Lonchura striata: one gene and its partners. The protein of the gene in region 3 interacts with the protein of the main gene of each other region in a biochemical or structural test. Links are inferred from orthologs where the notes say so. Each region holds a gene or a part of one and is shown on either strand. Other genes may lie near its edges.

Evidence for each region.
Region 1: the proteins of CREBBP (region 3) and FOXO3 are reported together in a solved structure, tested with the Homo sapiens proteins (2 studies listed by BioGRID, with this or other methods). The link is inferred for Lonchura striata from reciprocal best matches to the Homo sapiens genes CREBBP and FOXO3.
Region 2: the proteins of CREBBP (region 3) and ATF1 form a complex in vitro, tested with the Homo sapiens proteins (2 studies listed by BioGRID). The link is inferred for Lonchura striata from reciprocal best matches to the Homo sapiens genes CREBBP and ATF1.
Region 4: the proteins of CREBBP (region 3) and HOXB7 form a complex in vitro, tested with the Homo sapiens proteins (2 studies listed by BioGRID). The link is inferred for Lonchura striata from reciprocal best matches to the Homo sapiens genes CREBBP and HOXB7.

Annotation. Positions count from the first base shown.
Region 1 is NC_134605.1:69,784,083-69,791,851, reverse strand, and holds the start of FOXO3 (forkhead box protein O3), read left to right. Parts: upstream 1-4,767; 5' UTR 4,768-4,782; coding exon 4,783-5,376; intron 5,377-7,769. UniProt on the Homo sapiens protein: Transcriptional activator that recognizes and binds to the DNA sequence 5'-[AG]TAAA[TC]A-3' and regulates different processes, such as apoptosis and autophagy.
Region 2 is NC_134629.1:8,961,307-8,968,889, forward strand, and holds the start of ATF1 (cyclic AMP-dependent transcription factor ATF-1), read left to right. Parts: upstream 1-4,574; 5' UTR 4,575-4,706; intron 4,707-7,583.
Region 3 is NC_134618.1:3,873,325-3,880,255, reverse strand, and holds the start of CREBBP (CREB-binding protein), read right to left. Parts: upstream 3,010-6,931; 5' UTR 2,860-3,009; coding exon 2,775-2,859; intron 1-2,774. UniProt on the Homo sapiens protein: Acetylates histones, giving a specific tag for transcriptional activation. Mediates acetylation of histone H3 at 'Lys-18' and 'Lys-27' (H3K18ac and H3K27ac, respectively).
Region 4 is NC_134627.1:8,098,465-8,106,478, forward strand, and holds the start of HOXB7 (homeobox protein Hox-B7), read left to right. Parts: upstream 1-5,011; coding exon 5,012-5,411; intron 5,412-8,014. Other genes in the region: HOXB8 (homeobox protein Hox-B8), read left to right, coding at 78-495, 1,255-1,562. UniProt on the Homo sapiens protein: Sequence-specific transcription factor which is part of a developmental regulatory system that provides cells with specific positional identities on the anterior-posterior axis.

The DNA of each region.
Region 1 (7,769 bases), on a different chromosome or scaffold from region 3:
CTCAGTAATTCGACTGCTAATTGCATAAACTCAAGAACTGCATGTACCCCCAAGTATTTAAAATCTTTTAAGCAAGCTTTTGAGCAATCTCAGCCTAAAGAGCAGGTTTTAAAAAAGGATTTAAAATACGCAATTAGTTTTTGCTTTTTCCCCACCCCTTATCTTTCTTCCTGGGCCTCAAAGTATATTTGTATCACATTCATAGCACATCAAGAACTTAGCTATTGGTTTAAGATGGAAGCTGAGATGCTCCTTCAATGGCACATTAAGAAGAGGGATATCAGGGTAATACCAGTATTGCAGGCCTCATAAATAATGCTGAGAGTCCAGTTTGAAGCCAGCTTGAGGTGATCTTTAAGTTATTGTTCATCACTTCAGGGAAAATTTTATAGCTAGAAATCTGTGGCCATCTTTGGCAAACCCATCAAGTTTCCATGGCACAGTTTGGACCCTTGTTCTGTGTCTGCCAGTCAGCCAATCTTTCCATAACAACTGTGAAACCCAGTAGCCAGTTTTAGCCAAATTGGGCAAAAAGTTAAAGTCTCAGGGTATGAATCTGGCTGCTTTATAAATGACATTTCTTTCTAATCACCAGCATCCAGGTTGCTCTGAATCAGCCACAAAGCCTGTTGCCTATTGCCCAGTCTGTGTTTAAAGGACACAGTAGGGAACTCTGGGAAGAACAAAAACACACTAAAGGAGCCACTCTCTCATGGTGTGGATGGGAGGGGTACACAGGGTTATTACAGGGGACAAACTTCTCAGAGACCAGGCTGCAGGTGTCTCACAAAACAGCCCATGATATGCTTGTTCGTGTGAGGTCCATGTAGACAATGCAGCTGTTGTTTAACATAAGTGCAATATAACATTAATTTATTGAGCGGCAGTACACTTCACAGGAGATGTCCTTAATGCTGTACTGACAAGAAATTCCAGGTCTCCCACCCCCCATGTGACTTTATCTCCAGCCCTGCTTTTGCAGTTAGATATTTGTGTGAGAGGTGAAGCCAGAAATGTCACCTGCACGTCTCCAATTGCCATGTGACTGTGACCCTGCCAGATCCATATAATCCAGATACCGTGATAGGCACAGGTTTCCCACATCAGCCTGAACGGCCACAGCAGATAAAAGGAGATGCAGAGGAAGAAGCAGCCCTGCCCTAAAACACTTGCAGTCTAAGTAGGCAAAGTAAGTGAGCTGGCTTTCAAATGGCCTGAGGGCTGGCCTAACTTTATTCCTGTTGAAGTCAGTGATAAAAATCCCATAAATGGAGCCTTTTGGAAAATCCCACCCTTGGGGCATGAAAGTACTTAAAGGAAGAGACTGAAAATTGTGCAAGCTTTAGATTCAATTTTCATCAGTTTTTATGCGTATTTCAGAGGCCCCAGCCATGGAATGACAATACATCCTGTGACTTTCTGTTTTGCTCATGCACTTTTCATAAGCAAAATGTGTAGGAAAAATTATACTGTGGTTTTAATTACGCCCCTAGACTGCATTATCATGGGCACACACGTGGTGCACGGAGCTGTGAAGAACTGGTACCATGACGTGTGATAAAGGTCGTGCGACTGATATACCAGTGAATTCTGAAGAGGACAGATAATCTTGCTCAAGGCTGGCACTCAGGTGATCCAGTGTCATTTCTCAGTTCTGGCATGGGCTTCCTGTATGACCTCAGTACAGTCATGTAATTGTTCAGTGCCTCAGTCCATCATCTTTTTAATAGGGTTACTACTTAGTTACTTCCTTTCTCCCGCCCTCTCCTGCCTCACTTAGACTGCAATTCTGCCAGGGAGTGGAGCATTTCTTACCACGTGCAGGCCCTTCATCCAGTACAATGAGACCTAATAGCAGTGCTGGTAGAGTAATGCAATGCCAATTAAATAAATAAATGAAGATGATAATATCATTTAGGACTAGATTTGCTGCTTGCAACCCAGCCCAAGGTCAAAGTTCTGTGCTTCCCTGGAGCTTTGGGATGCGCTCCATGTGGAGGTTTCTGCAGTGGTGAAAATCAGCCCCAAGCAGTAGCTAGTTTTGGGAAAGGGCTGAGCACCGGTCACAGTTTCACAGGTGGCCTTCTGTGGCTAACTGCTGAACGTCACAAGGAAAGCCTCCTTGGAGATGTAGTTGGCCTAAGCAACTTCTCACCACACCTTTTTGTCTGAACTTGGTTGCTGGCTCTTCAATGCCACTGTGGTTTTCCTCCCTACCAACTGCTAAATCATATACACAAATGCCAGTGTCACAATTGGAGAGTGGCTGGTGTCTTTTTGAGCTGCCTTGCATTTTTGTAGGGGCCATGTTACAACAAAAGCCGTGGCAAGGCACTCAACATTGTGACCCAAAATGGAGTTGCAGTGAAAATTATTTCCATTACTTGAACCTGCATTTATTCTGATTAATTCGGTGTCTTTTGCTATATTTAGACAACCAGGGATTAATTGTATGCATGCTGAAATGCTGTCCCTTGTAATAAAATCACACTAAACTATTCCTAACTTCAGTGGCTCTTGAACTAGACACTTAGGGCCTTAGGCCTTACTTAGTAGCACGCGTGAGGCATGCAGGATCAGGGTCTCGATTGTTTTATAATCAAACTGAATGGTTTACAAATCTCTCTACTTGTCTATAATGCAATACATCAGGAATAGTTTGTCTGCTAATTTTATCCGGCACATCTTCTGAAGCACACTGCTTCTCAGTCCATGCTATTGTATCTTGTCTCGGAGACCATGTTGGACTAAATCTAGTCCACCACAGTCTAGGTCGGTATCAAGCCGGGTAAGAACTGATACATAGAAGTTGCCATATGAAGTATTTATAACTACATCCATATTAATAGCTTTTATGTTCCTTGGTTTTGTGGGTCACCCCTTTATTCAACCCATAATTAACTACATATTCAAGTGAGCTACTTTGGAGGGCTTTCTGCTAGGGCATAGCCTCTAAGAGGGAGGTACAGCGAGATTGTATTTCACGTGTGGACATGTCTGAACACGTTCCTGGAATCACCCACAGGCAGAGTGAAAGTTTTCAAATTACTAAATTAGACTCTGTATTTTAAAGTTTACCAGAACAGCTCGTGTGCACTAATAATTTTTGACCAGTGAAAATGAGTACAGAAAAGAAACAGGCCTAATACAACTCTTGGAAAAATTTACCGGGTACTTGGAGAGGTTTGAACGCTTTCCACTGGGCCGGCCGGACAGGGCTCCGGGGCCGCAGGGACGGCAAGCAGAGAAGCGCTGCCCTCCCCAGGCGCCAGCGGCTTCTCCAGCCCGCCCAGCTCCGGCGCCTTCCCCCATCCCGGCGCTCCCGCCCCGTTGGGGCGGCTCCTGCGCGGCACCGCCCGCCCGTGGGCGGGCCCTGCCGACCCGTGCGGTTTGGTTGAGTCTCCCTGCGTGTGTCTATAACTTTGTGTTGCTGCCGGTGGTTGTTAGGAGGAGGGATGTGGAAGTCGGCGGCGAGCAGGGTGACAGGCTGCTCGGGCGGGCTGCGGCGGCGGACGGGCTGGGCGCGGGCGGATCGCTTGCCTCTCGCCGGCTGCTCGCAGGGGGAGCGGGCGCTCTGCCGTTTTCCCATCCTTCGCCTTTAAAGGGAAGGCTCTCTGGAGCTGAAGGCGCAGGAGCAGCAGGAACCATGCAGCAGCGCTGCTTCTTCCTCCCGTGAATTCGGATTTCGATTGCTGCCGGTTGTGGAGGTGGCTCTCGATCCAGCACCCCCCCGCCGTCTCCCGCCCCTCCCGATGTGGCTTTGCCTGCCTCGTCTGCCTGCGCTTTTTAAATGACTTAAGTGAAGGGGGGAAAAACTGTCAAGATGGCAGCAGCAGGAGCAAGGAGGTTATGAATGTGGTGTTGATGCTGGAACAAAACGTATTCTCTTTGGCAGCCCTAGGGAGGGCTTAAAGCTACTGGACCTGTTGGAAGACTGGCGATTTGATTTGTTCCCGTTGCATTTGCTTTTTCCCTGCAAGAAGGAGGATTTATTACTATTTTTTTTTTTAACCGAGCAGCCCCCGGGGTGGCCTTCTCCTGCCTCCTCGTCCGTCGGCTGTGAGATTTTGGGGGGTTGCTTGCGCTTGGCTTGGGGGCACTGCAAAGTGACAGGTTTACGCTAGTGTGCAGTTGGATGTATGCTAAGACTTCGGCTCCCTTTAGGGCGTTTTGAAGAAGGAAAAAGTCTTCGGTGTAACCCAAAGGACCGCTCTCCCTGCCCTCCCGCCGACGGAGGGCGCGAAGGACCACCCCCCCAAAAGGCAAGATATCTGCGGAAGCGACGAGGAGCGAGCTCGGAGGCACCGGGGGCGTGAGGGGGTCTTCTCCCGGCTGGATACAGCGCGGTTCTCGCTGAAGCTACTTCTGCATCCGCATGGAGTGAAACATAAACAAACGCACACACGCACCGCGGGAGCGGCCGCCGCTCCGCCGGCGCGGAGGTCAGCGCCGCGGGCACCTCCGGCACCGCCCGGCCCGTGCTGCCGCCCTGCGCGGCCGCTCCGGCTCCTAATCTGATTTTTTTTTTTTTTTTTTTTAACTCCCTCCCTCCCCTTCTCCCCCCGCCTCCCAGCTCCGGCGTGCGCATCGCCCGCGGGGAGCGGGGCTCGGGGCGCAGCGGAGAGCCGGCCAGCCCATAGCGGAGCGCGGCATGCCCGCCCGGCAGACCCCCGCCTGCTAGGCTCCCGTCGGCACCGAGGAGGCGGCGGAGGAGGAGCGGGGTCGGCGGCCGCCCGCCCGCCCCGTCGCAGCGCCCCGCAGCCGCCCGCGGGGGAGGCCAAGATGGCAGAGGCGTCGCCCCCAGCCCCGCTCTCGCCCCTGGACGTGGAGCTGGACCCCGAGTTCGAGCCGCAGAGCCGCCCCCGCTCCTGCACCTGGCCCCTGCAGAGGCCCGAGCTGCAGGCCAGCCCAGCCAAGCCCGCCGGCGAGTCGACCGCCGACGCCGCCTCCATGATCCCCGAGGAGGAGGACGACGAGGAGGAGGGGGGCGGCTCGGCCATGACCGTCGGCAGCGCGGCTCCCGCGGGCGGAGAAGCAGCGGCGGCGGCGGCGGCGACCACCGCCGTGCCGGAGGAGGCGGCGCGGCTGCTGGCCCCGCTGCCCGGCGGCGGCCCGGAGGGACCGAGCCTCTCGCCGGGGGGAGCGGCGGCGGCGGCAGGCGGCGGGGGGCTGAGCGGGGGCCCGGCGGCGGCGCCGAGGAAGTGCTCGTCGCGGCGCAACGCGTGGGGCAACCTCTCCTACGCCGACCTCATCACCCGCGCCATCGAGAGCTCCCCGGAGAAGCGCCTCACTCTCTCCCAGATCTACGACTGGATGGTCCGCTGCGTGCCCTACTTCAAGGACAAGGGCGACAGCAACAGCTCGGCCGGGTGGAAGGTGAGGCGGGATCCCGGGGCCGCGGCGCTCCCGCCGCGCCGCCCCGACGGGCGGGCTGCCCCTGGAGATGCAGCCGCGGAGCGGGGTGCTGGCGGCTCGCCCCGACAGCAGCCCGCCGGGCGCTGGTTGTGCTGATGGTGGTCGCCCTGTCGGCTTTGCTTTTTTTTTTTTTTTTAGGAGAGGGATTAAGGAAAGTTTTGTCTCTTTCTTGTCGCTTTGTACAAGCGGTGAGGGCTATTGACTCTGAGGGCAGAGTACGCGCTGGAGCTCAGTTGACTTTTGTGATGCAAAAGCACATAAGCAGAAAGATAGAGGGAGAGAGTAAGAAAAATGAAAAATATTTGTAAGGTGTGTGGGTTTTGCTTTGCCCTTTTTTTTTTTTTAAGTTATGGTAACACCGGAGGTAGTTAATGCTGGAAACGAGCAGAATTGCTTTGATGTATGGTCAGTCTGCATCTCAAAGCTCAAATACAGAAAGACTTTATTATTTTTGTCAAGGAAACCCCCAGTTTTTTGCCCATGTGTTCCTCAAAAGCAGTAGAGGGAAATTCGCGTTTTGACATTTCTTCATAAAGTTAATCAAAGCATGGAGTTATTGGCTGTTCAGCCCCTGGAATGCGTGGTTTGTGATTCCTACGTTTCCAGTGTATGAGAGCACCGTCTACTGATAGTCCCAGCATTTTCTGTCCAGCACTGCGACAGTGAGCAGCTAAGAGTACTACCGTTTTAATAAGTGAGGGGGAAAAAAAAAAAAAAAATATCTGGTTTTGTGGCTTGTTTGCTCAGCGCGTGCAAAAGCACGTTGCAAGCAGGCAGGGTTTTACCCTCAAGAAAGAGTCATATAAGGCCTACCAGGAGCCAGAACTGCATGTAAAGCACATTTGAAGTGATTTTCAGAACTGCTTTTTTTTTTTTCCTTAGTTTTCCTGTTCATCTGTCAGCGTCTGTTGGACGCCAAAATGTCACATACTTGCAGCTGTACAAAAATGCAGGTGCTGCTTGATGCCGATACTGTTTGCAGAAGGAAATCCCAGCAAGGTTCAGTTGCTGCTGAGGGCCGATACTAGCAGCATCTGACACTGAGTTTTTGTATGGATGGCTGAAGGTAAATTTGCCAGCAAGTTCAGTGCTTTTATAGAAAAAATTAAATTTTCTCTTTGAATTTAGCTAGATTTGGATCAGGTGATAACTTTCAGTATACAAATTGGTCACAAATGCTGTATAGATGAAACATTTCTGGCAGTTTCTGTACTAGCAGCCTTATCATGTATTTTGGTGCCCGAGTAGGACTTGCTGCTAGGAATTGAAGTGCGGCTGTATGATTTTTACCTTCCAAATGAAGCACAGGAGAGGAAGTATTTAGTTGACAGACTTGTCTTAGGCTGGAGAAAATACAAACACAAAGTTTACTGCTGGCATGGCTAGCTGAAGACAAGGCTTTTAAAACCACACATATTTTTTTACAGCTTTTTTGTGTGTATTAGATGTTGAATTTTGATCTGACTTTACAAGTGTGACGCAGAATGTGCTAAAGGGTTACATCTTCCAATGACAGCCTGTGCCTTCATAAGTTGTTCGGTTTCACACACAAGCAGTGGCTTTAGATGTCAGCTGTTACGGCAAATCCAGCATTTTTATCTGGTACTTTGAATTTTCAGTGAATTCTCAATATCTTATTCAAACAAAGATTTACCTAACAATGGGGGTAACACTGTTTTGAATTTGGTGACAAAACTCCTTTTCACTTTAGCAGAAGCAGAATCTGGGCCATAATATGAAGTGCTTACATTGATTAGTATCCTTAATACTGTAACAATTTTTTTGACACTTTATACTGTTAATTTGATATTGATTCCTTTGCTGAGCAGCATTAACTGGTACTTGGAGGTAATTAAAATGTTAAAAACTTGGATCCCTTGAGATTCTTCTGTTATAATTTAGTTCAGAAGTTTCTCACAAGCCTTTAGGATGACCTTTCTCAGGACATGCAGTCACACTGGTAGCAGCAAATTCTGCCTCTGATTATGAGATGTCTCTAAAGTTAGGGTAAGACATTCAGTCACATTAACGATGGGTGTAGTTGTGTGTGGGTGGTAGGGGCATACTGGAAGGGGCCAGGGGGAGGTCAGGAGCTAATAATTCGCCAGGCATCTGAAACTGGAAAACGTAAGTCCTTAGCAAGGCTAGGATTTTTTTTTAAGTGCGTATACATTCAGAAGAGGACTACGTCAGTTTCTTGGCTGTAGAGTAGTTTAGTTTGTGCAGAGGCAATATTCTTATATGGGGACTCCATCTTAGTCTCCTGATATTAAAACACATTATATCTTATTATCATCTTTGTTTCCTTCCCAGGTAATGAATACAACTCTTCAGGAACTAATGTCAGCTTTTCA
Region 2 (7,583 bases), on a different chromosome or scaffold from region 3:
TGGCTTAGACACAATGTGAGATGCTCCCGCCTTCCCCAGGTTTCTGATTTCATTTGTGTCTTTATTCTGGCCAGAACCCTTTGGTTTTGAGGCACATCTTTCTCCAGGAGGCTGAATTCAGCACGGAATTGGGGAGAAATGGCAGGGCAAGGAAGGAACTGAGGGACAGCCTCATCCTGTGGCTCCAGGTGTGGAAAGGAAATCCAGGTGAATTCCCTGCTTGTGCCATTCCTCTGGGATTCCTCCAGCTCCCTGAACTACTGTGAAGAGGCTTTAGTGGAAACTGGGAGCAACCAAAAAATGCTCTCCTCAAAGCATTCCCTGCAAGAATTCCAGGTTTAAGTCAGACACAATTTTTCTTTTGCTGGAGGAACAAGTAATTCTGGCAAACACATTTTTAAATACCATTGTGAAAACTCTTATCCCAGCCTGTGTCAACTCCAGCATTAGGGAATGGGAAGAAAGAGAAACCTGAAAGCAGCAGGTCCAAGCTCTTCCTGCTGGGGAGCAGGGCTGGGAGAGAGCTGATGGTTGAGCTTTGACTCAAAATGATCTCTTTTTTTTTTTAATTCTTCATCTTTTAACAGCAATTACACTTCTCTGGGTGCTAATGTATGATTTTGGAAGCCTTGGGAGCTGCTACCAGATCCTGCAACAGGGTTTTTTTTTTTTGGTTTTTTTTGGTTTTTTGAGTCAGATGTGGAATACAGTGTAAATAAACTTTTCAAATGTTCCAGATTACCTCACGTGAAGTTTTTAGGCAGTTTTTACAAGGTTGATGGTGTGGACTTGGAAGATCCTGTGGCAGTTACTGGAGCAGAGTCCAGTGGATCCACGAGCAAACCCCAGCTGTGTCCTTGAAAAGCTCCAGCTGCATCCTCCTCACAGAGCAGGAGCTTTAAAACTCAGAAGTTTCAAATGGTATTTTTGAAAAATATTTGGTGGGGGCGTAGGAACTGGAAGTTTTGTGGCAGGTCTGGACTTAAGGTTCTTTGCAAACACTTTGGGTTTCAGGGGCACATTTGGGAACCTTGTCTGTGTTTTCCACAGTATCAGCCAACACTGCAGAACATGCACAAAATCTTCAATATATTTAGTTTTAACAAATTGAACACAAAGTGGGGACAGTGGCAGGTCAAAGACTAAACCAGTTGGTTCTGCAGCTTATTTTGGGTGTAAAGTGCATTTTCAGCCAGAAAATTCCTGGTTTTCTGTGTTCTTTGTCACCGTTTTTGTGTTTCCTGCACAGCCCAGGCCTGGCCAAGCAGCTTCACTCCAGTGTGACCTTTCCAGGGAAAACTGGTGGTCTTGGACCTTCTTCTTTACTCAAGCCTTTAGATAAATTGTCTGAACAAACATTTTTTTTATCCACTGAAGTAGATTTTAAGTCCAATTCCAGGATTGTCTTTTATTTTTATTCGTGATTGTTCACAAATAAAACAACATGTGAATGAATTCCATCAAATGTGGCAGGTGAAATTCCTGAAATGGCATTTTTTGATTGTGACTGGATTGATCTTTTTTTTTTTTTTTTTTTTTCCCCTTATTTTTTGGTTTGGATAGGTACTGATAGCTTCCTATGGTTTGAGTTTTTTATCTTGCAAGTTCCCTGTGTGCTCCAAATCTCCTAGCACGTTGCATTTCTGTGTGCTGGAGAAGTGCAGGACACAGCCCGTGGGATGAGAGAAGGTTCCAGGGACGCTGCTCAGTTTGGCTTCCCTGAATTCCCCGAGTGCTTTGAGAATTTTCTATCAATCCAGGAAGGATGGAGCTCTGGAATCCCCAAAATTCCAGCTCTGCTCAGGATTTGAGCCTTCCCCAGGTCATTCCTCTGCAGCTGGGGATGATCTTTCCATATTTCTGGGGAGCAAAGCAAAATCCTTCACTCCAGACTTTGGCAGGTGGGCAGGGCTGAATGTTTTGGTGTTTTTCCCAAAAGAAACCAGCCTCTCCTCCAGTGTGACTGCAGCTGCTGGGGTTGCACAGGGCACATTATTCCCTTTTTTCTGCCCCTGGGGTTCCAGCTTAACTGCATTAAAACTGAAAAACTGGGAATTCTTCCCACTGGACTGAAGTGTATTGTGTGTGTCTCGCTGCTTCTGAATCTTCTCTGAGCAAACGCTGTGGGAACGGGGCAGTTTTGTCCTTTTTTGTTAGAATTTGCACTTCATTTCTGGTTTAAATCAAGTCAGCTGTGTCCTACTAACTGTCCTAAAATAATGTTATAAAAACCAGATCAATTTTAGCCCTAGATGCTTTTTTTCTTTTTTTTTTTTTTTTTGCTTTTATTTCTGTCAACCTCTTTCCCATTGTCCAATCCAGACTCCGGCATTCTGTAATTATGTATAAAGGTTTTATTTATTTAAAATTAGATTAGCTACATTTTTAAATTTAACACCTGGCTGGACAGTGTCCCATTAACGCATTGATTGTGTTTCCTTTGTCTTGTGTTAATAAATATTGATGCCTGGTTGCTTGTTGAGTCCTTCCAGCGCTGTTTCCATGAAGGAATTTTATTTTTAAGGAAGAAAACATGGGTTAAAATTGATCCTGGGCTTAGGGAGAACTTGTAAGTATCTTAAAATTTTTGTATTTTTGTCAGTTGTGTGTGGAGAAGTGTTGGAGCTCTGGGGGTGTGAAGGAGCTGGGCTGGGCAGTGTCCTGCACCTGTAACTTTGGGAATCTGAATTTTTGGGATCAAAGCAGGGAGTGGAGCTGGAGAATCCTGAGGGAGCTGGGAAAGGGGCTCAGCTGGAGAAAAGGGGGATCAGGGGGAATTTCTGGCTTTGCACAACTCCCTGACAGGAGGGGACAGCTGGGGGGTGAGTTTGGGATTTATCCCAGGGAAATCAGGAGGGATTTCCCCATGGAAATTGGAATTACAAATTGGAATTACAAATTGGAATTACAAATTGGAATTATTGCTGCCCAGGGAGGGTTGGAGTGCCCGTCCCTGCAGGTGCCACTCGGTGCTCTGGGAACAAGGTTGGATTCCGTGGCCTCGGAGGGATTTTTCCAGCTCAGGAATTCCCAGATCCTGTAAAAAATCACATTCCTGTCCCTAGAGGTGCTTGGCTGCAGTTGGTGCTTTTCAGGGAACACTGAATTTCCTCTTCTCCCCAGTGATGGCTGAGGAACTGTCCCATGAGGGGAGCCCCCAAATCCTCACTGTTGTGAAAAACGCCAATAATTTGGTTTTTAAAATTTTAGAAGTTTAATAACAATAAAATGGTTATAAAAATAATAATATAATTAGAGTAATAAAGTTTAGAGTTAGGAGAATTACAAGATAATAAAAAGCAAAGAATTATGGATGTCTGGATGCTTTCAGACACTTAAGTCATGAAAAGCATCCCTTGTGAACAAAGGAATCACCTTAAAACAATACACTGCTGCATATTCATATATCCTTCATGGTTATGCATACATTTTATTTAAAACAAGAATTCTGTTGTTTTTTAACTGTTTCCTTTAATCCCCATGTCCCTTCGAGTCTGAGCAAGGCCTGAAGAAATTAACTTCTTCTGATAAGAAAACCATAAATTCCTCTGCTTGGGAAGATTTCGGTGTTCCTCGAAGCGAGCACCTCATTCCTAAAAAGAAAACTGTCCCTACATACACAGGCTCTATTTTACCATTATGTTGTAACCTAAAACTATATTTAACACACCACTTAAGAGAATTAATACAGCATAACTTTCTGACGTGACACATCTAATATTCATTGTAATATTTGCCGAAAGCCAAGCGTAGCAGATGAATTTTCACGCTGTGATCCTAAAACCCTCTGTGGAATAAATAACCCCGAGAGGGGCCGAAGCCCTTTAGTGCCACTTCCTAAAAATCCGCAGGGAGCGGGTGAGGAACGGCCACGGAGACGCGGCCCTGCCGCTGAAACCCGGCTGCACCCGCTGTGCTGGGAGTAGCGGGAATTTCGGGAATTGCAGGATTTGGGGAATTTGGGGGATTTTGGGGGATTTCGGGAATAGCGGGAATATCGGGAATTTGGGGGATTTTTGGGAATTTTGGGGATTTTGGGAATATCGGGAATAGCGGGGATTTTGGGAATAGCGGGAATTTTGGGAATATTGGGAATTTCGGGATTTTTGGGGATTTCGGGAATTTCGGGGATTTTAGGAATATCGGGAATAGCAGGAATTTCGGGATTTTGGGGGATTTTGGGAATTTGGGGAATTTCGGGATTTTTGGGGATTTCGGGGATTTTAGGAATAGCGGGAATTTGGGGAATTTCGGGGTTTTTGGGGATTTCGGGAATTTGGGGAATTTTGGGGATTTTGGGAATTTCGGGATTTTTGGGGATTTCGGGAACTTCGGGGATTTTAGGAATTTTGGGAATTTCGGGGATTTCGGGAATTTCGGGATTTTCGCGGCGCTCCCGCCCCAGAGCGCGGCGCGGCCTCCGGCCGGCGGGGGCGCTGTTGCCGCGCCGTGCCCGCCGGCGGCGCTCCGCCGCTCCGCTCCGTGGCGCGGCCGGGCGGGGCCGGCTCCAGGCGGCCGCTCTAGCCCGGCGCCCGCGCTCCGCGCCGCTGGGGCTCTATGGCGGGGGCCCCTGGGCGCGCACTCTATGGTCGCGGCCCGCCCCCGCCGCCGCCGCCGCTTCCCTGAGGCGGGACCGGGCCGGCAGCGGGGCCGGGACCCGGCGGCGGCTCCGGCGCTCCCCAGGCGCGGCCCCGCGGGGCTCTGAGGTAAGCTCGGGCTCAGGAGGCCGCCCCGTCCCCCCCACCCCACCCCGCTCCCTCGGCCCGCCCGCCGCCGCCGCTTCTCCCCCCGCGCCACCCTCCGCCCCCGCGGGCCGTGAGGGGAGGACGGGCGCAGGCCGCGGCCTCGGCCGCTGCGAAACCGCGGGGAGTTCCCCCCGCCGCCGGGCCTGAGGCGCTGCCCTGCGGCCTGGGGCTGCTGCCGGGCCCGGGGACGGGGGGAAAAAGCTTCTGGGGGTGTCGAGGGGAGCCCCGGGTCCCGCGTCCCCCCGTGTCCCGCTCCCCTCGGGAACGGGGAAAGGGAAAGGTGCTCGGGGGTGAGGAGGGTCCCGCTCCCCTCTGGAACGGGGAAAGGGAAAGGTGCTCTGGGCGTGAGGAGGGTCCCGCTCCCTTCAGGAATGGGGGAAAGGGAAAGGTGCTCAGGGCGTGACGAGGGGAGCCCCAGGTCCCGCTCTCCCCGGGAATGGGGGAAAGGGAAAGGTGCTTTGGGACTGACGAGGGTCCCGCTCCCCTCTGGAACGGGGAAAGGGAAAGGGAAAGGTGCTTTGGGACTGACGAGGGTCCCGCTCCCCCCGGGAATGGGGGAAAGGTGCTCTGGGGGTGAGGAGGGGAGCCCCGAGTCCCCCCGTGTCCCGCTCCCCTCTGGAACAGGGAAAGGGAAAGGGAAAGGTGCTCGGGGGTGAGGAGGGTCCCGCTCCCCTCTGGAACAGGGAAAGGGAAAGGTGCTCGGGGGTGAGGAGGGTCCCGCTCCCCTCGGTAACGAGGGAAAGGGAAAGGTGCTCGGGGATGAGGAGGGTCCCGCTCCCCTCTGGAACGGGGAAAGGGAAAGGTGCTCGGGGGTGAGGAGGGTCCCGCTCCCCTCTGGAACAGGGAAAGGGAAAGGTGCTCGGGGATGAGGAGGGTCCCGCTCCCCTCTGGAACAGGGAAAGGGAAAGGTGCTCGGGGGTGAGGAGGGTCCCGCTCCCCTCTGGAACAGGGAAAGGGAAAGGTGCTCGGGGGTGAGGAGGGTCCCGCTCCCCTCTGGAACGGGGAAAGGGAAAGGGAAAGGTGCTCGGGGATGAGGAGGGTCCCGCTCCCCTCTGGAACGGGGAAAGGGAAAGGTGCTCGGGGGTGAGGAGGGTCCCGCTCCCCTCTGGAACGGGGAAAGGGAAAGGGAAAGGTGCTCGGGGGTGAGGAGGGTCCCGCTCCCCTCGGTAACGAGGGAAAGGGAAAGGGAAAGGTGCTCGGGGGTGAGGAGAGGCTCCGGCCACCGGGAGCCGCGTCCCCGAGCGCTGCCCGCTGACCAACTCTACTTTATCTCTAATTAAACCGCCGTCAATGGGCGTCGTTACCTGTCCTCTGTGAATTTTCCCCCAGATCCGTGTCTGAGCCTTGGCTTCCAGTGCTCAGTGAGGATCCGGGGCGGTATAAGTGATAGAAATGATGATATAAATGATCTCTGGGGTGTTTTTCTCTCCCGGCCATCAGATCCCTGATGCGGATAGAATATTGACGTTTTTAGGCTGCAGCGTTTATTTCTGAAGCTCCTGTCAAGGGGATGTTCCTGTACAGGCTGGGAGTGGAAGAAATCCTGTGAGGAAAGTGCTCCTGGAGTTTTAAGGAATAATTTTGTGTGTTTGTGGAATGGAATCTGGAGCACTGACTGGGCACCTTGACTAGAGACTGCTCACTTGCTCTCTGGTCGGATGTGCTGCCCTTTTACTGATTTCTGAGGGAAAAAAATGGAGTTCTGTCCGTTTTCTGGGTGAGCAAATTTTCTCCCAAGTGTCCTAATGGCAAATTTAGGTAAATAATATTTTCACTGCTGAAAGCAGCTGATTTTGAGGACCCCAAACTCCCCCAGATTACTTAAGCATCGTTCAAGAAAACGTTTTGAATTTTCTCTGTACAATTTCTAAATGTCAGAATTCGACTTCTGTCACTATTTGAGAATAAAATTCTGTGTCAAATATTCTTGATTTCTGATGTTATAAAAACATAATCCATTGGCTCTTACAATATTTCAGTGATGAAACATCATTCAGACCCTTCCTCTACTCAGTTTGCAAAACAGAACTTGGTTTCTTCCTCTGTAGCATTTCAGGGAATTTACAGAATTAGGGAATCAGTGGGAGTTGTGGGGATGGGTTTTTCTTTTTTAATTGATGCTCCTTGAGCACGTCAGGTGTTTCTGGTGGCTTTGCCTGGTGGTTCATGCACACGGAGGGTGTCTGTGAAATGTGTCCTGATGGAACTGTGACATTCCTGTTTATGTTTCAAAGGAAGGTGGATTTGAGGCTCAGGTTTGAAATAGGATGAGTTTTCTTGGCTGGAGGGAGATGATGCCCAGAATTTTAGGAGTTCTTGAAGCAAATTTCATGAGCTGCTGTTGCAAAATCCTTTCAGTTAAATGACTTTTGGAGGTGGAGCTGCACGGAGACTTTGGGTTTACTGTGAAAATCGTCACCCTTGCCTGTCTGGTTCTCAAAAAGTGGTGTTTGTACAGACTGGGCCAATAAAGCCTTGGTGTTGCTCCTCTTGTCAGTGCTCTGTGACAGCAAAATTCTGCCTTCACCCCAAAGAGAGCACCTGCTTTCAGCTAAATAAATTAAATTCAGCTGTCAGAGCAGTTTTACACAGGGGGTGACTCGGGTATTATCCTTTTTGGTGCTTCTTCTTAGAGCTTGAGACCTGCAGGTTGAGGTTTTTCCCCCATTCCAGGGGGAAATTCCCAGTTTTCCAGCTAAATAAAGTTAAAAGCATGGGAGTCTTGTGTGACAGCCCAGAAGCTGTGAGGTGCAGGATGAATTTAGCAATCCTTGCTAAATCTTTTTATTGCCTGATGTTGGGTGAATAATTAAATATTCCAGAGCAAGCAGAGATGAA
Region 3 (6,931 bases):
ATACAGCACAGCAATGGCAAGTGAAGTTAACAGCCAGGAGTCTTAACCTTCCTTATTGATACAAAGAGCAGCACGGCAACTGCGAAATGAGACTATCATGAAACTTAACGATGGTCACAGCACCCATTTCTGTTATCCTTTCATCTCTGCACCCTTCTGCAAGACCAGACACTGAATTTAACCACTGAGGTTTAACAGAAAAGGCTGTATTTTCACAAGGTAAGCAGACCAATTTCAATGGCACAAACTTTGCCCCGGTAAGCTGAGGAGCTATTTTTATCAGAAAGATTAAAGGCAGCTAAAACTTACCCTGACAAAAGGAGTTGCTTAACATCACCGCATCAAAGCATCAAGAAAATATAAACAAGGAGGAGAGCAGTTGCTTTCTGCCCAACGTTCAGGTCTGCCATCAGAGCCTCGGGTGTGAGCATTCGCAGGCTTGAGCAGAACTGTTCAGCTGGGCCCAATGCAGAGGCTGTGAAAGCACGTCCCCCTCATCCCCCTCACGGCAGCCACAGCACCCACCAGTGTGGGGCTACCGCTGCAATTACAATAATTCTGTTCAACTCACTGCTCAGCCAGGGCAAAAGCCTCAGACCCATCTCCCCAGGCTCCCTCGATCACAAAGGCCACTTTCCAGGTTGCAACAGAACTTTTCTATTTAAGCCCCAGCAGCAGGGAGCAGCCTGGTTTAGTTCCAGGAGCAGGCATTTGACAGCAATCACTACTCAAACTATTTGTATCGCCTGCCACAATGCACGGAAACCTTCAGCAATCCTTCAACAAGCAGCATTAACTGCTGGCAACAAACCTAGAAGTGCTTTTCCTAAAAACAAGCCTCTCTTTAAGTGCACAAACATCACCCACACCCTTGGCAGAGAGGTACTTTTGCCTATGGAACACCAGGATGATGACAGAACTCCTTGGACACACTTGTCCAGAATACAACTTGGGGTTTGCCATCCCGGTGCCCCCAGGCCCCCTGAGCCCTGCAGAACTTTCTGCAGATGCTGGAGTTCACACATCCAGCGCCACACAGAGCTCCCCGAGACACACGAGAACTTGCTGAACAGGACGTAATTAAGACTGAAGCATTCCAGAACAGCCCAAGTGAACTTCAAAAAAGAACGAAGGAAGAAAAAAAAAAACAAGCCAAGACACTGGCTACCAGGAGAGTCTAAAATTTCTCACTGAAGTATTAAAGAACTATAAACTGTATTTGTCCTGAGTTACAAAGAGCATTTCGCAGCAACTTGTGTATCAGCCTTCCATATATTCCAGTGCTTCCACACAAGGGGGTAAGATCACAAGACCTCACCTAGATATTCCCTGACAATTCTAATTCGATACTGTTTCTTTCTCGCTTGTTTAATTTATTTGCAGGCTGAGAAAAAAGGTTTCCATAAAAAAACCCTAAAGGACCAAAGCATCTGTAAAGTGTTGCCAAATATAGATGGAGCAAGACGAAAAAACCCACAGAATTTATCAGCTCAATTATAGTAGTATTTTTTTTCAGTCTATGAAAACACAGCAGGCACAGCATGATTAACTTATCACTATCCCTTCCACAAGATTCATTAATCTCTGAAAGCAGAAATTAAAGTGCAACAGACTTCAAGTTCTTCTGAAACCACTCTTTCAGGGATTGAAACAGTCGGAACACCGGTAGAGGCCGGTCGGTCCAGGCACACATGCTCTTATGCACACGTGTGTATTTACAACGGGCACACACTGGCTGGAAACAAGACATTTTTATCTGTTTTATTATCTACAAATCCATCACATTTGAAGAAAAAGGCACGCCAGAGACACTACACACGACGCAGGCAAGTCGCAATGACTGCCACGCTGCTGGGCATTTCGGCATACGAGCAACCCCACAACTTCAATTATTATCGGCAAATCGTTTGGGGTTTAAAGGAAAAATGCTTGAAACAGTTTAAGCCAAATGCCCGAAAACCTCGGTCACAGGCTGGGAGGTAAAAAAAAGCACAAAGTATTAACTGGAGGATAGAATTAGATGTTCTTCAAGGTTCTTTCCAACCCATATCATTCTATGACTAAGAAGCTATTAAGGAGTTTTTATTCCGTAGTGTGTCACACACAGGGGCACAGTGAAAAAGCCTGTATAGGGCTATTAGCTGTGGGTAATCTGTGGGGTTTAAGGAGTAGACAGAAACTTAACTACCCTTCCAAGTTGAAGAAGGGTAGATTTAGATTCCGTATCGGGAAGAAATTCCTTCCTTTGACGACAGTGAGGCCCTCCGCACAGGCTGCTAAGAGAAACTGCATCTGCCCCAACCCTAGAAGTGTCCAAGGCCAGGCTGGACGGAGCTAGGAGCAACCTGGGATAGTGGAAGGTGTCCCTGCCCATGGCAGAAGATAGAACAAGACGGGCTTTAAGGTCCCCTCCTACCCGAACCATTCCACGATCGTACAACAAGCAGGACGGTCGCTTCCCTACCCGCACTCCGCTCACCTGTCCACCCCCATCACCCAAACCGAGGCACTAAAAACGAAGATGATGGAGGAAAAGATGGGAAACCTAACTCGAAAAACGTCTCTTTCCAACCGCTATTTATAGCCGGGACGGTACTTGGCGTACGGGTCCCGCCCGGTAACTTCGACTGCAGGAGGCCCAACCCACCCCCGCCAGGAACCGCGGCAGGGCGGGCGGTCCCGCAGGCCCCCCCTCCGGCGGGGCGGCGGGGGCGGGGGGGTGTGTGGGGGAGAACCGGCGTAGAGCCCCACCCGAGCCACCCCCGCGGCCTTACCTGTGCTATCGCTGGCGGAGAAGCCCGGCGAGTTGAGCTTGGCTCGCTTGGGGTTGGGCGGCCCGTCGAGTAAGTTCTCCGCCATGGTGGCCGGAGCGGCGGAGCCGGCGATCGTTGTCGGGGGGTGCCCGGGGGGGGCCGAGCTCGCTGTCCCCGCTCCTCCGCCGCACGGGAACCCAACAGCGCCGCTCAGTGCCCGGCCGGCCGCCCCCGCTCCCCCATGCCGGGCCGCCGCAGGCCGCAGGGAGGAGGGCTCGGGGCGGGGAGCGAAGGGCCCAGCGCCCCCTCCCTGCCGGCCGCGCTCCTCCCGGGCGCTCCCCCCGCCGCGGTGCCCGGATGGCGGCTCAGGCCGTCACTCGGGGCGCATTCCGCCCCCCCACACGCTCCCCTCGCCTCGCCCCGTCCCCTCCCCTCCGCGGCGGCGGCTTCGCCCCGGCCCCCGCCCGCCGCCCGCCCGCGGCTGAGGTAGGGGAGGGAGGAGGGGGGGGGGAGGAGAAGAGAAGGGAGCGGGGGGGGGGGGGGGGGGGGGGCAAAAATTAAAAAAAAGGAAAAAAAATCACCAAAAAGCGGAAAACCGCGCCGACCCCCCAAAAACGCCCCAAAACAATGAGCGCGGCGCGGCGGCGGCGGCGGCTCCCGGTGGCGGCGGCGGCGGTCGGTTGGCTCCGGGCGGCTGCGCCCCGCTGGCTCGAGCCCCCTGTGCGCGTCGGCGGCGCTCGGCGCGGCTGCCCCGTGCGGCGGCGGGGCGGCCCCGCTGCCCCGGCCCGGCCCGGCCCGGCCCGCTCCGCCCGCGCCGCGCTCCGGCTCCGCGACAAGATGGCGGCTGTTGATTCCTCAATTAAAAAAAAAAGTTTTTTTTTCTCTTCTCTTTTCCAGAGCCCTCGGGGGCGGGGCGGGGGCGGGGCCTGCGCGCTGCGTCAGCGCGCTCGCGGCGCGGCCCCGCCCTGCCGGAAAGGCGCGCGCGGCGCCGGAAGCGGCCGGCGCCGTCCTCAGTTGCTCCGCTGAGGGGCTCGGGAGCGGCGGGAGGGTCGGGCGGCGACCCCGCCCCGCACGCCGTGCCGGCGGTGCTGTGCGCTCGCTCTCCGCCGCCCTGCCCCGCCTCGGTGCGCCCCGCTACCGCCTCGGTCTGCCCTGTTTGCTTCAGTCGGGGCTTCCCCCCGCAGCACCCCCTCGCAGCGTCCCCTCTCCGTTTGCCCTCAGATGTCTCAGGTGCCTGCTCCCGGTGCCCCCTCATAATCTCCCTTCAGTCCCCTCAGAGTGCATTTCTCTCCCTCCCACCCACAAAGTCCTCGCCTGGTCTTTCCTGTTTGCTCCCCCTCAGGACCCAGAGCTGTCCCCTCACAGTGTTCCGACTCCCCTCAGATGTCTGTTCCACCCTCACAGCGTCCCCCGCAGTCTCCCCTCAGTCCCACCAGAGATGTCTCAGTGCTCCCCTCACGGCGACCCCTCCATGCCTCCCCACAGTCCCCGTTTCTCCTCAGTCCCCTCGTAGGGACCCCCACAATCTCCCCTCGCAGTCCCACCATGGATGGCTCATTGGCCCTTCAGAGTCTCCCTTCAGTCCCTCAGATCCCTCACTTCAGTCGTTTGCCAGTCTCCCCCCACATCCCCTCTCTGACTCCCCTCGGATGTCGCAGTGCCCCCGCACAGTGTCCCCTCCATGTCTGCCCATGATCCCCCCTTCCCCTCTCAGTCCTTTCAGAGTCACCCACACAATCTCCCCTTTCACTACCACCACGGATGGCTCAATGCCTCCTCATAGTCTTTCCTCCCCACATACTCCTAAGAGCCCTCACCCCTGTCTCTCCTCTCAATCCCACCATGGATGTCCCCTCTCATCTCTCCCTGAATCGTCCTCAATTTTCCCTCTCAGACACCTATCAGTCCCTCACAGTTGTATTTCCAGTTTGCCTTCTCAGTCTCACCAAAGATGTCCCCTCTCAATGCCCCCTTCACAGCCATCCCCCTCACAGTCTCCCTTCTCAGTTTCCCCTCAGTCACCTCTCAACTTCCCTTCTCAGTCCACAGACAGGATCTCTCTCAATGTCCCCCTCAGCATGTCCCCTCTCAGTTACCCCCTGCAGTTCCCCCTCTCAATTCTACTGTGGACATTCCCTCTCAATGCGCCCATCACAACATCCCCTCCCAAGCTCCCCCTCAGTGCCCCCATTTTCCCCCGTGCCCCCATTTTTCCCCGTGCCCCCATTTTTCCCCGTGCCCCCATTTTTCCCCATGCCCTCAGAGCAGCCACACACAAGGGCAAGTGTCCCATCGGAGCTGACCCACTCTCAGGCACCAGCATCAAACCCCAGCCTCACTTTACAAACACTTTCTGCTCTGTCTAGACAGACTTCCCCAGCCCAAAACAGGTTTAGAAGACTGGAGCTCATATACTTCCATAGATTTCCATACTGGTTCCCAACCTGAGAATCAGGTCATATAAGCCCCGGTGACGTGTGTGGCAGCAGAGCTCCTTGTACCCAAACTGGTTGCTTGGGGCTGTTTTCATCATCTTCATGTTGGAATGTCCTCCAAAGGTAGCCACAATGGGAGGAGAGGCTGGAGAAGATCTGGACACAATTCTGAGGATTTGTTGACAAGCTCCATAAGCTGAGATGGATTCAACAGCAATAATTTATTGGTTTGAAGGAGATCTATAATGACAGATTACTTTGCAAAGAGTAAGTCTGCGTTTTGTTTACTGCAAAACTCGAATTCATTACATTTACTTCTACATTTACATGAATTTCATTACATTTACTTGCAAATTCTGTATTTATTTACATGGTGCCTGTCCTTGCTGAGGTCTGGCTGTAATCACGTGGAGGTCTGTCAGGCCTCTGTTTCTATCACTGCACTACTCATTAGCTACACAAGTAAGTGCTCTCTGGTTGTGCCTGCTTTAATTTCCTTCAAAAGCAATGAGTTCCCATCTGTTTCAGGATGTTTCAGTGTGGGACAGGGTTTGGTGTCTCACAGTGCCTCTAGATGTAAAAGCAGCAGCTCCTGTCCAGCAGCATTTTACTGTGGTATAAAGCATTTATTCCAGTTTAGGTTAAAGGAAAATGTTTTGCTGTTGGAGGTGAGGGGTGGGAGTCACATCAGATTCTAAGTCACAGCCGAGGACAACAGGGTCTTTTTCTGGCTCCTGCTTGAACTTTTTAACAAGTTTAGTTGGTGTATTTTGAACTGTGTCTTGGATCACTCTTTGTGCTTGCCTTGGTCATTACAGCCTGGGCAACCTGAGCTAGTGGAAGGTGTCCCTGCCCATGGCAGGAAGGTGGAACGAGCTGGTGTTTAAAGCCCCTCAAACCCAAAGGAAGCTGTGGTTTTTCAATTACATCATTTAAGGATATGCTGGAGTGGCTGACACCAGGAGCCCTCCATAGCACTTCCTCATCACCCCCTTCCCTGCTGCTGCACTAACTCTGCAGCTCTGGGATAAAGTCAGGATGGAGATTTACCACTGGGGACAGATCCTGAGTGGTCCCATGGCTACTGCCACTCTCCAGAGGATGTTCATGCTGCCTGGTGCTGGGCAGCACACCCATGTTACAGCAGTACTGCAGCCCTGAGCACACAGCTGCTGAGGCGCTGACAGCCCCAGTGCTGTGACAGGAGCTGCTGTGTCGGTGCCTCTGAGGGAAATGCTGTGTACCCGCTGTTGGGAGAAAAGCAGAGGATGTATGGAGGCCATGATGAGCTGGGAGAGCTCCTCTGTCTTTACAGCAAGTGCCAGGCTTGCCACACCAGTGAAGTCAAAGCGGGGCTGCAAGTCCCAGGAGCAGAGTGGGAGGGAAAGGAGGTGCTTTGGAGGGAGGGAATCCTTCACCCCAGGCAGCAGGGGCAGAGGAGGAGGATCCTACTGCTGCTGTGTCCTGCAGCTTCTCTGTGGTGAAATGTCCCCTTAGGATGGCCCCTAAGGGGATCAGATCCCCTGCCATGGGATCAGAACAGCGCTGGGTTAATGGCAGGAGGGAGAGGAAGACCTCGGCTGTTACCAGCTGCCCCTTGGAAAGAGGGCTATGATTAAATACCCTGAAGGCCTAAGAGTACCCTGGGTATCACAGCCCTTTGGTGTCAGTACTGCAAGACTTGGATGGCCTCACTCACTAGTAATGCCAAACATGCAACAAACTCAAAGAGAGCAGGAGGAT
Region 4 (8,014 bases), on a different chromosome or scaffold from region 3:
CGCTGCTTTAAAAAAAAAAAAAACAACAACAACAACGGGAAAAAAAAACAAACCAACAACCTCTTATTGAAATTAAAATGAGCTCCTATTTTGTCAACTCACTCTTCTCCAAATACAAAACCGGCGACTCCCTGCGCCCCAATTACTATGACTGTGGGTTCGCTCAGGAGCTCGGGGGCAGACCCACCGTGGTGTACGGCCCCAGCGCGGGGGGCACCTTCCAGCACCCGCCCCAAATCCAGGAGTTCTACCACGGCGCCTCGTCGCTCTCCAGCTCCCCGTACCAGCAGAACCCGTGCGCCGTGGCGTGCCACGGCGAGCCGGCCAACTTCTACGGCTACGAGCCGCTGCAGCGGCAGAGCCTGTTCGGCGGCCAGGAGCCCGAGCTGCTGCCCTACGCCGACTGCAAGCTCGCCGCCGGCGGCCTCGAGGAGGCGGAGAGCTCGGAGCAGAGCCCTTCTCCCACGCAGCTCTTCCCCTGGATGCGCCCGCAAGGTGAGGCGAGAGCGGCGAGCGGCGCCCCGGAGCAGCCCCAGCTCCCCCCAAACCCGCCACCCCCTCGGCTTTTTTCTTTTTCTTTTTCTTTTTCTTTTCGGCGTTTTGCTTTCTCTGCCCCTCCTTTGCTGCCTTTCTTTCTCTCGCTGCCTTTTTCTCGCCCCCGGTGACTGTATTTTAGTGCTTTATGGGGGTAAACTTTTGCACTTGTAAATTGCTTTATAGTTTAATTACCCTGAAGGAGACCTTTTCTTCTGGGGGCTGAGCGAGCCGGGCTTTCTGTGGAAGGAAGCGTCCTTAAAGTTTATGGCACTTTTATAGCCTTAAAAAGCCCCTTCATTTTTGTTTGCCGTTCGATTGGGGCTCTCGGCCGCGCTGCCGCCTCTCTGCGGGCCGCAGCCTTTTATTTATTTTCATTTTTTGCTGCTTTTTGGGGGTTTTCCCGGGCCGGGCTGCGCTGTTGTTGTGCTGGGGGTGATAATCGGTGTGCAAAGCGCAGCTCCGGCCGGGCTGCTGGGGTGGGCTGAGGGTGACCGACCCCCCCTCTCCCTTTTCCCTCTCCCCTTTTCCTTCCCTTCCCCTGCCACCATCGCCCTTTTCCCTCTGAACCGTCTCCCCCTCGCCCTCCTGCCTTCCCGCGGGGTTTTTTGGGGGGTTTTGCGAGTTGTTTGCGCCTCTCCCCGAGCCTGGTTTATGTTTCTCTCAACCTCCTTCTCCTTTCCGCCCCTTCTCTCCCACCCAACCTTTGCCATCCCCCAGCAGCCGCCGGACGCAGGAGGGGGAGGCAAACCTACAGCCGCTACCAGACGCTGGAACTGGAGAAGGAATTTCTATTTAATCCCTACCTGACCCGCAAACGGAGGATCGAGGTCTCGCATGCCCTGGGATTGACAGAGAGGCAGGTCAAAATCTGGTTCCAGAACAGGAGGATGAAATGGAAAAAGGAGAACAACAAAGACAAGTTTCCCAGCAGCAAATGCGAGCAGGAAGAACTGGAAAAACAGAAAATGGAAAGAGCGCAGGAGGTGGACGAGGAAGGGGAAGCACAGAAGGCGGACAAGAAATAAAGGGAATTTTGAGGACTGAAAGGCAAGCGCTGCTGGGGTGGAGGAGCCCCCGAGCCCCGCGTTAATGAGAGTTGCTGTAAGGGAGGGGTGGGGGTGGTGGTCGGGGGGGGGGGGGGGGGGCACACGACAAAAACAACAAACCAGGAAAACAAAGCGTAGAAAAGAGAAAAAAGGGGAAGCAGGAAAAAAAAAAAAAAAAGAAAAAAAACCACAAAAAAATCCCTTTTATTGCTGTAAAACAATATAGCTGTAAGCGCCACTTTCCCGATTATCCTTTGACACAATGAGCAGAGCGCGGGAGGCTCCGGCAGCTCCCGGCTGCCTTTTGCCAGTTATTAACTAGCGGTAGTGTAACGCAATAGCTTCTGTAAAACATGACTGTGAAATTCTCTCTCTGTCTTTCTCTCTGTCTCTCTCTTCTTTCCGGGGGCGCGGGGGGTGGGGTGGTTAACATAGCTTTCAGCGCTAGAGGAGTTCTGTGAGATTACATTTGTGCACTTTTTTATTTTATTTTATTATTATTTTTATTTTAATTTGGATGTTTAGTTCCTTATTTCCCATCCTTTTTGTTGTCGTCGTTGTTGTTGTTATTGTGGTTTATCTGTATGTACTGGAGGTAGCTATTGAGACAAGCATCCCAACAACATGAAACTGCCTATTTATGCTATAGTTATCTCTCTCTTCACTTTCCCCTCCTCTTCTTTGCCTTGGTTAGTTGGGGTTTTTCCTTTTTTTTTTTTTTTTTTAACACAATTTTTCAATGTCTCTTCCATAAGAAAAAAAAAGGGGAAAAAAGAAAAAAAAATGCAAAAAAAAAAAAAAAGCGTTTTTCTTTCCTTTAGTTAGCATGCGCACAGTGAAGCAAGTTGTAAAGTGATCTTTAGGTTAACTGTGAAAAAGAATGTATACTGTATACGTGAATTACTTTATTGGGGGAACTAATGCTATATTTTGTTGTTCTTTCACCACTTTGTTCTATTGTCTAAACCTGGAAGCGGCGGAAGAAAAGTTACAATAAAGTTTACAAGCGAGAATTCCGTGACATCATTCCTTTCGCCCTGCTCCGCTTCCTCCAGGACCGCTGGGATAGAAAGGAAATTAAAAAGTCAATTTGTGCACCACCGAAAATAAAAGGCAAAACCTCGGCCGGGCTCGGAGCTGCTGCCGGGCCGGGGCCGAGGGGAGGGGAAGGGCCCGGGGCAGCCGCGCTGCCTCCCGCTCCTCTTCCTCCCGCTCCTCTTCCTCCTGCTCCCTTCCTCCTGATCCTCTTCCTCCTGTTCCCTTCCTCCTGTTCCCTTCCTCCCGCTCCTCTTCCTCCTGCTCCCTTCCTCCTGATCCTCTTCCTCCTGTTCCCTTCCTCCCGCTCCTCTTCCTCCTGTTCCCTTCCTCCCGCTCCTCTTCCTCCTGATCCTCTTCCTCCTGTTCCTCTTCCTCCTGCTCCTCTTCCTCCTGTTCCCTTCCTCCCGCTCGTCTTCCTCCTGCTCCTCTTCCTCCTGTTCCCTTCCTTCTGCTCCCTTCCTCCTGCTCCTCTTCTTCCTTCTCTTCCTCCTTCCCTTCCTCCTTCCCTTCCTCCTGCTCCTTTTCCTCCTTATCCTCTTCCTCCTGCTCCTCTGCCTCCCACTCCTCTTCCTCCTGCTCCCTTCCTCCTGTTCCCTTCCTCCTTCTCTTCCTCCCGCTCCTCTTCCTCCTGTTCCCTTCTTCCTGCTCCTCTTCCTCCTGCTCCTCTTCCTCCTTCTCTTCTTCCTCCTGTTCCTTTCCTTCTCCTCTTCCTCCTTCTCCTCTTCCTCCTCTTCCCTTCCTCCTTCTCCCCTTCCTCTTTCTCTTCCTCCTGTTCCCTTCCTCCTGCTCCTCTTCCTCCTTCTCTTCTTCCTCCTCTTCCTTTCCTTCTTCTCCTCTTCCTCCTGTTCCCTTCCTCCTGTTCCCTTCCTCCTGTTCCCTTCCTCCTGCTCCTCTTCCTCCTCCTCCCTTCCTCCTTCTTCCCTTCCTCCTTCTCTTCCTCCTGCTCCTTTCCCTCCTGTTCCCTTCCTCCTCTTCCATTCCTCCTCCTCTTCCTCCTGCTCCTCTTCCTCGCAGCTCCCAGCTGGGGCTGCCGCCTGGAATTCGCTGTTGCAGGTAACGTTTCGTGAAGCTCGTGGCTTTTTGGTGGCTTTTGGTGGCTTTTGGTGGCTTTTGGTGGCTTTTGGAGGCTTTTGGTGGCTTTTGGTGGCTTTTGGTGGCTTTTTGTTTTGGTGCCCTCGCCCTCCCGCGGCAGCCCGGCCGCTCCCGGCCCCGCTGGGGGATCGCGCCGGGAGCAGCGCAGCTGAGCCGCCGCTTCCCCCGGCGCTCGTAACCTTGGGGAAGGAGAAATCGCCACAAACCCCGCACCATTGTCTGCTTTTCCTGCCTCCCGGAGCTTTTTTTTTATTTCTTTCTACATGCCCCTCACCCTGCCCTCCCCTCCCCATCCCACCCAAGCCGGGGCCGCCGCCTCTTCGCACAAAAAAAAAAAAGAAAAAGGAAAAAAAAAAAAAAGAAGAGAAAGAGCCAGATCGCGGTTTTGGATGGTTCCTGCGCTTCTCCAGCAGAAAGCAAATCAGCCAGCTGCTCAGGTCTGACTTCTGGCTGGAATTGAGCCCTGCAGAAGCGCTGACACGCGGAACAAGGGATCCCAGCGCTCTTTATTTTCCCCAACAAGAAAAGCAAATGCCAGCTCGATGCGCAGCTCAAAGCCTGTGGCACTGGAATAAATTAGATATAGAGCTGAATGGCATTTTGGGGGGTGGAAAAAAAAGACGCCTGGAACTATTAGGTATCAATGAGACATTTGTCTCTTTTTTTTTTTTTTTTTTTTTTTTTTTTTTTTTTTTTTTTTGGGGGGAGGGGGTTGAGGAGGGGGCGAGGGTCGAGGGGGGAGGGGAGGGAATTATGGCCAGTCTGGTGAAAAAGTAGCTCGGAGACGAGGAAATGGTGCAAAGGAGGGAAATTTAGACGGGATCAATAAAGGGATAAATAGAACTCCCTTCCCTTTCCTCCAGCAGAGAGAGACCGAGAGAGCCTCGCTGGTTTATCAGCAACGTGCTTGTAACCCCCTCCCCTTTTTCATGTTGTTTTTTTCTTCTTCTTTTTTAATTTTTTTCCTCCCCTTTCTCCCTCGCTCCGAGCTGAAAACTGATTACAGGTTGCTTATCGACTCCGGCACAATTTCACCCCTTCCAGCAGAGCTCGTGCAGGGTTTTATAGGGCATCAATTATTTATCATATTTTATAAATCCAGCCGCACAGTCCCGTGCCCCCGAGGAGGGGGCGGCCGGCGATTGGCGCCGCCGCAGCCACGTGCCCGCGCGTCACCGGGGCCGGGAGGAAAAAGGCTCTTTTTTGGTGTAAATCTGGACTCTAATTCCGTAATATATCACGGTACCTCGTAAAACCGACACTAAAACGTCCCGACCTACAAATCACCCGGCCAAATTATGAGTTCATTGTATTATGCGAATGCTTTATTTTCTAAATATCAAGCCGCAAGTTCGGTTTTCCCATCCGGAGTGTTTCCCGAGCAAACTTCTTGCGCTTTCGCCTCCAGCAGCCAGCGAGCGGGCTATGGGGCCGGATCCGCGGCGCCCTTCGCCGCTTCCATGCCCGGCCTCTACTCGGGCGGCAGCTCCGTGCACCCGCAGCCCCCCAGCGTGTACCCCGCGGGCTACGGCCTGGAGGCCGGCTCCTTCAACATGCACTGTGCCCCCTTCGAGCAGAACCTGGCCCTGATGTGCCCGGCGGACGCCTCCAAGCAGAGCTGCAGCAAAAGCGACCAGAGGGACGCGGATCTGCAGGGCGACAGCAACTTCCGCATCTACCCCTGGATGAGGAGCACAGGTAGGAGCCCCGGAGGGGGCTGGGGCCGGGGGAGGGCGGCCGGGGGCCGGGAGGGGGCTGGGGGTGGGGGGAGCGGGAATTATTTGCTGGCGTGCGGAGGAGGAAGGGGGTGGGGGTCGTCCCCAGCTCCTTTCGTGACGTTTCGCTGGAAACGCGTCTTGGAAAGAGAGGAGGGGGTGGGTGGGGTGGGGTGGGGGGAGCCACACACCGCCACCCCCCTCCTGTCCTCCTCCGCGCCCCCGTTTGCCGTCAAGCCGCGCTTGTAGCTCCAGATACCGATCGGGGCCGTGTCTGTCTGTCTGTCTGTCTCGGAGGGGACGGACGGAGCCGCAGGGATCGCGGGCAGCCCCCGCCGTGCGCACGGGCGGAGGCTGCGCGCTCCGGGACAGGGGCTCGGGGTGAAGCCCCCGACGGGAGGCGCTTCCAGGGCCGGGGCTGTTCTCCTGGAGGCGGCCAAAGCTCGGCCCGGCTGTCCCGAGCGCTGCGGTGCCCGCAGCGGCAGCGCATCCCTCCCCGCTCCGCGGAAACATCCGCGCTCGCCGAGCGGTGACAGCCCGGCGTGGAGGCAGGGATGGAAATGGGATCAAGAGCGGCGCCTTCTGTCCCAAAACCCTCGGGGAAAGCCCTTTCGGGGCGGCCCTGCTGGAGCTGGGGCGGCTCCGGGGGTGACCCCGCTCCGGGTCACGCTGGCCCCGCACATGTCCCGACCCTCCGGGCTGCCTCCGGCTCCGTCTCGGGGCATTAACGTCAATTAAGGATTAATAAATATCCCAATAAATATCCCTGGCCCCCCGCGGGAGGGGCCCGGCGCGGCCCCGCTCCCCCCGGGCCGCCCGGAGCGCTCCGGGGCTGGCTGGGCGCTCCCTCCGTGCCCGCGGTCACTCGTGGGCTGGTCACGCTGCCCTCGTGGGCTGGTCACGGTGTCTGTGGTCACTCGTGGGCATGGTCACTGTGTCTGTGGTCACTCGTGGGGATGGTCACGGTGTGGGGCTGGTCACTGTGTCTGTGGTCACTCGTGGGGATGGTCACGGTGTGGGGCTGGTCACGCTGCCCCTGGTCACTCGTGGGGATGGTAACGGTGTGGAGAGGGTCACTGTGTCTGTGGTCACTCGTGGGGATGGTCACGGTGTGGGGATGGTCACTGTGTCTGTGGTCACTCGTGGGGATGGTCACTGTGTGGTCACTCGTGGGCTGGTCACTGTGCCCGTGGTCACTCGTTGGGCTGGTCACGGTGCCCGTGGTCACTCGTGGGGCTGGTCACTGTGTCTGTGGTCACTCGTGGGGATGGTCATTGTGTGGTCACTCGTGTGGGTGCTCACTCTGCCCGTGATCACTCGTGGGCTGGTCACTGTGCCCGTGGTCACTCGTGGAGCTGGTCACTGTACCCGTGGTCACTCATGGGCTGTTCACTCTACCCATGATCACTCGTGGGCTGTTCACTCTACCCATGGTCACTCGTGGGGCTGTTAACGATGCCCGTGGTCACTCATGGGCTGTTCACTCTACCCATGGTCACTCGTGGGGCTGTTAACGATGCCCATGGTCACTCCTGGGCTGTTCACTCTACCCATGGTCACTCGTGGGGCTGTTCACGATGCCCGTGGTCACTCGTGGGCTGGTCACTGTGCCCGTGGTCACTCCTGGGCTGTTCACTCTACCCATGGTCACTCGTGGGGCTGTTCACGATGCCCGTGGTCACTCGTGGGCTGGTCACGGTGCCCGGGGCTCCTCACACCCGTGGGATGCCGAGAAGAGCGAGAAAGGCGCTGCTGCCCCGCCTGGGAGCGGCACGGGCGGGGGGACGCGAGCTCCTTTTCCAGCTGGCCCAACCTGGGAGCATCAGCCCCGCTCCGCGGCGGCGGAAAATCCGCGGCAGGGCTCGTTAGGAGAGCTGGGGGCGAGCGGAGAGCGGCCCAGGCTGGCCGGGAAGCGGAGGGAAGGAGGAGCAGGGCGCAGCAGCCGAGGCACGGCGGGCTGGGCAGGCGGGAGTTCCCTCGCACTTATTCGGTGGTCACTCCTTTCCATTACCTGCTCCATAATTCATCCGCTTTTACAGTTGATTTATCAAAGACCAAATATTTCTGGTCGTAAACACTTCATCTCCGCTTTTATCCGACTTTAGATTTAAGAAGCCCCCCCCGCTCACTCCTCTTTCAGCCGGTGACGCTGCGAGGATCAGCGCTGGAGAGGCTTTGGAAAGAGAGCAAACCTCCAAAAAAAACCCAAAAAACCTGGATGTTCTGGGATCAGCTGAGCTTAAAACCAGAAAAACTCGAGTCAGGGCGTAAAATCAGGGGTCCCTTCCCCGCAGCCCCCCTTCCCTTGCCGTTCCCGGTGCCCAGGGTGCGATCCCGCTCGCGGAATTGCGGAATTCCACCCGCGAGCAGAGACGGAGTTGTCATCCCCATTCAGCAGCGCTTTATGGCTCTCTCCTCTGCGGATTTTACAGCCCGCATTCCACGACCTGCACATTTTTACTTTACAGCTTTGGCCGGGCGATTTTGCCTTTTTTTGTTTCCCTCTCACTTTTCCTTTTAATGACTGGACCTTTTCTTCTTGAAGAAAAAAAAAATTAAAAAGGCTAGGAAAAAAAAATAAAAGAG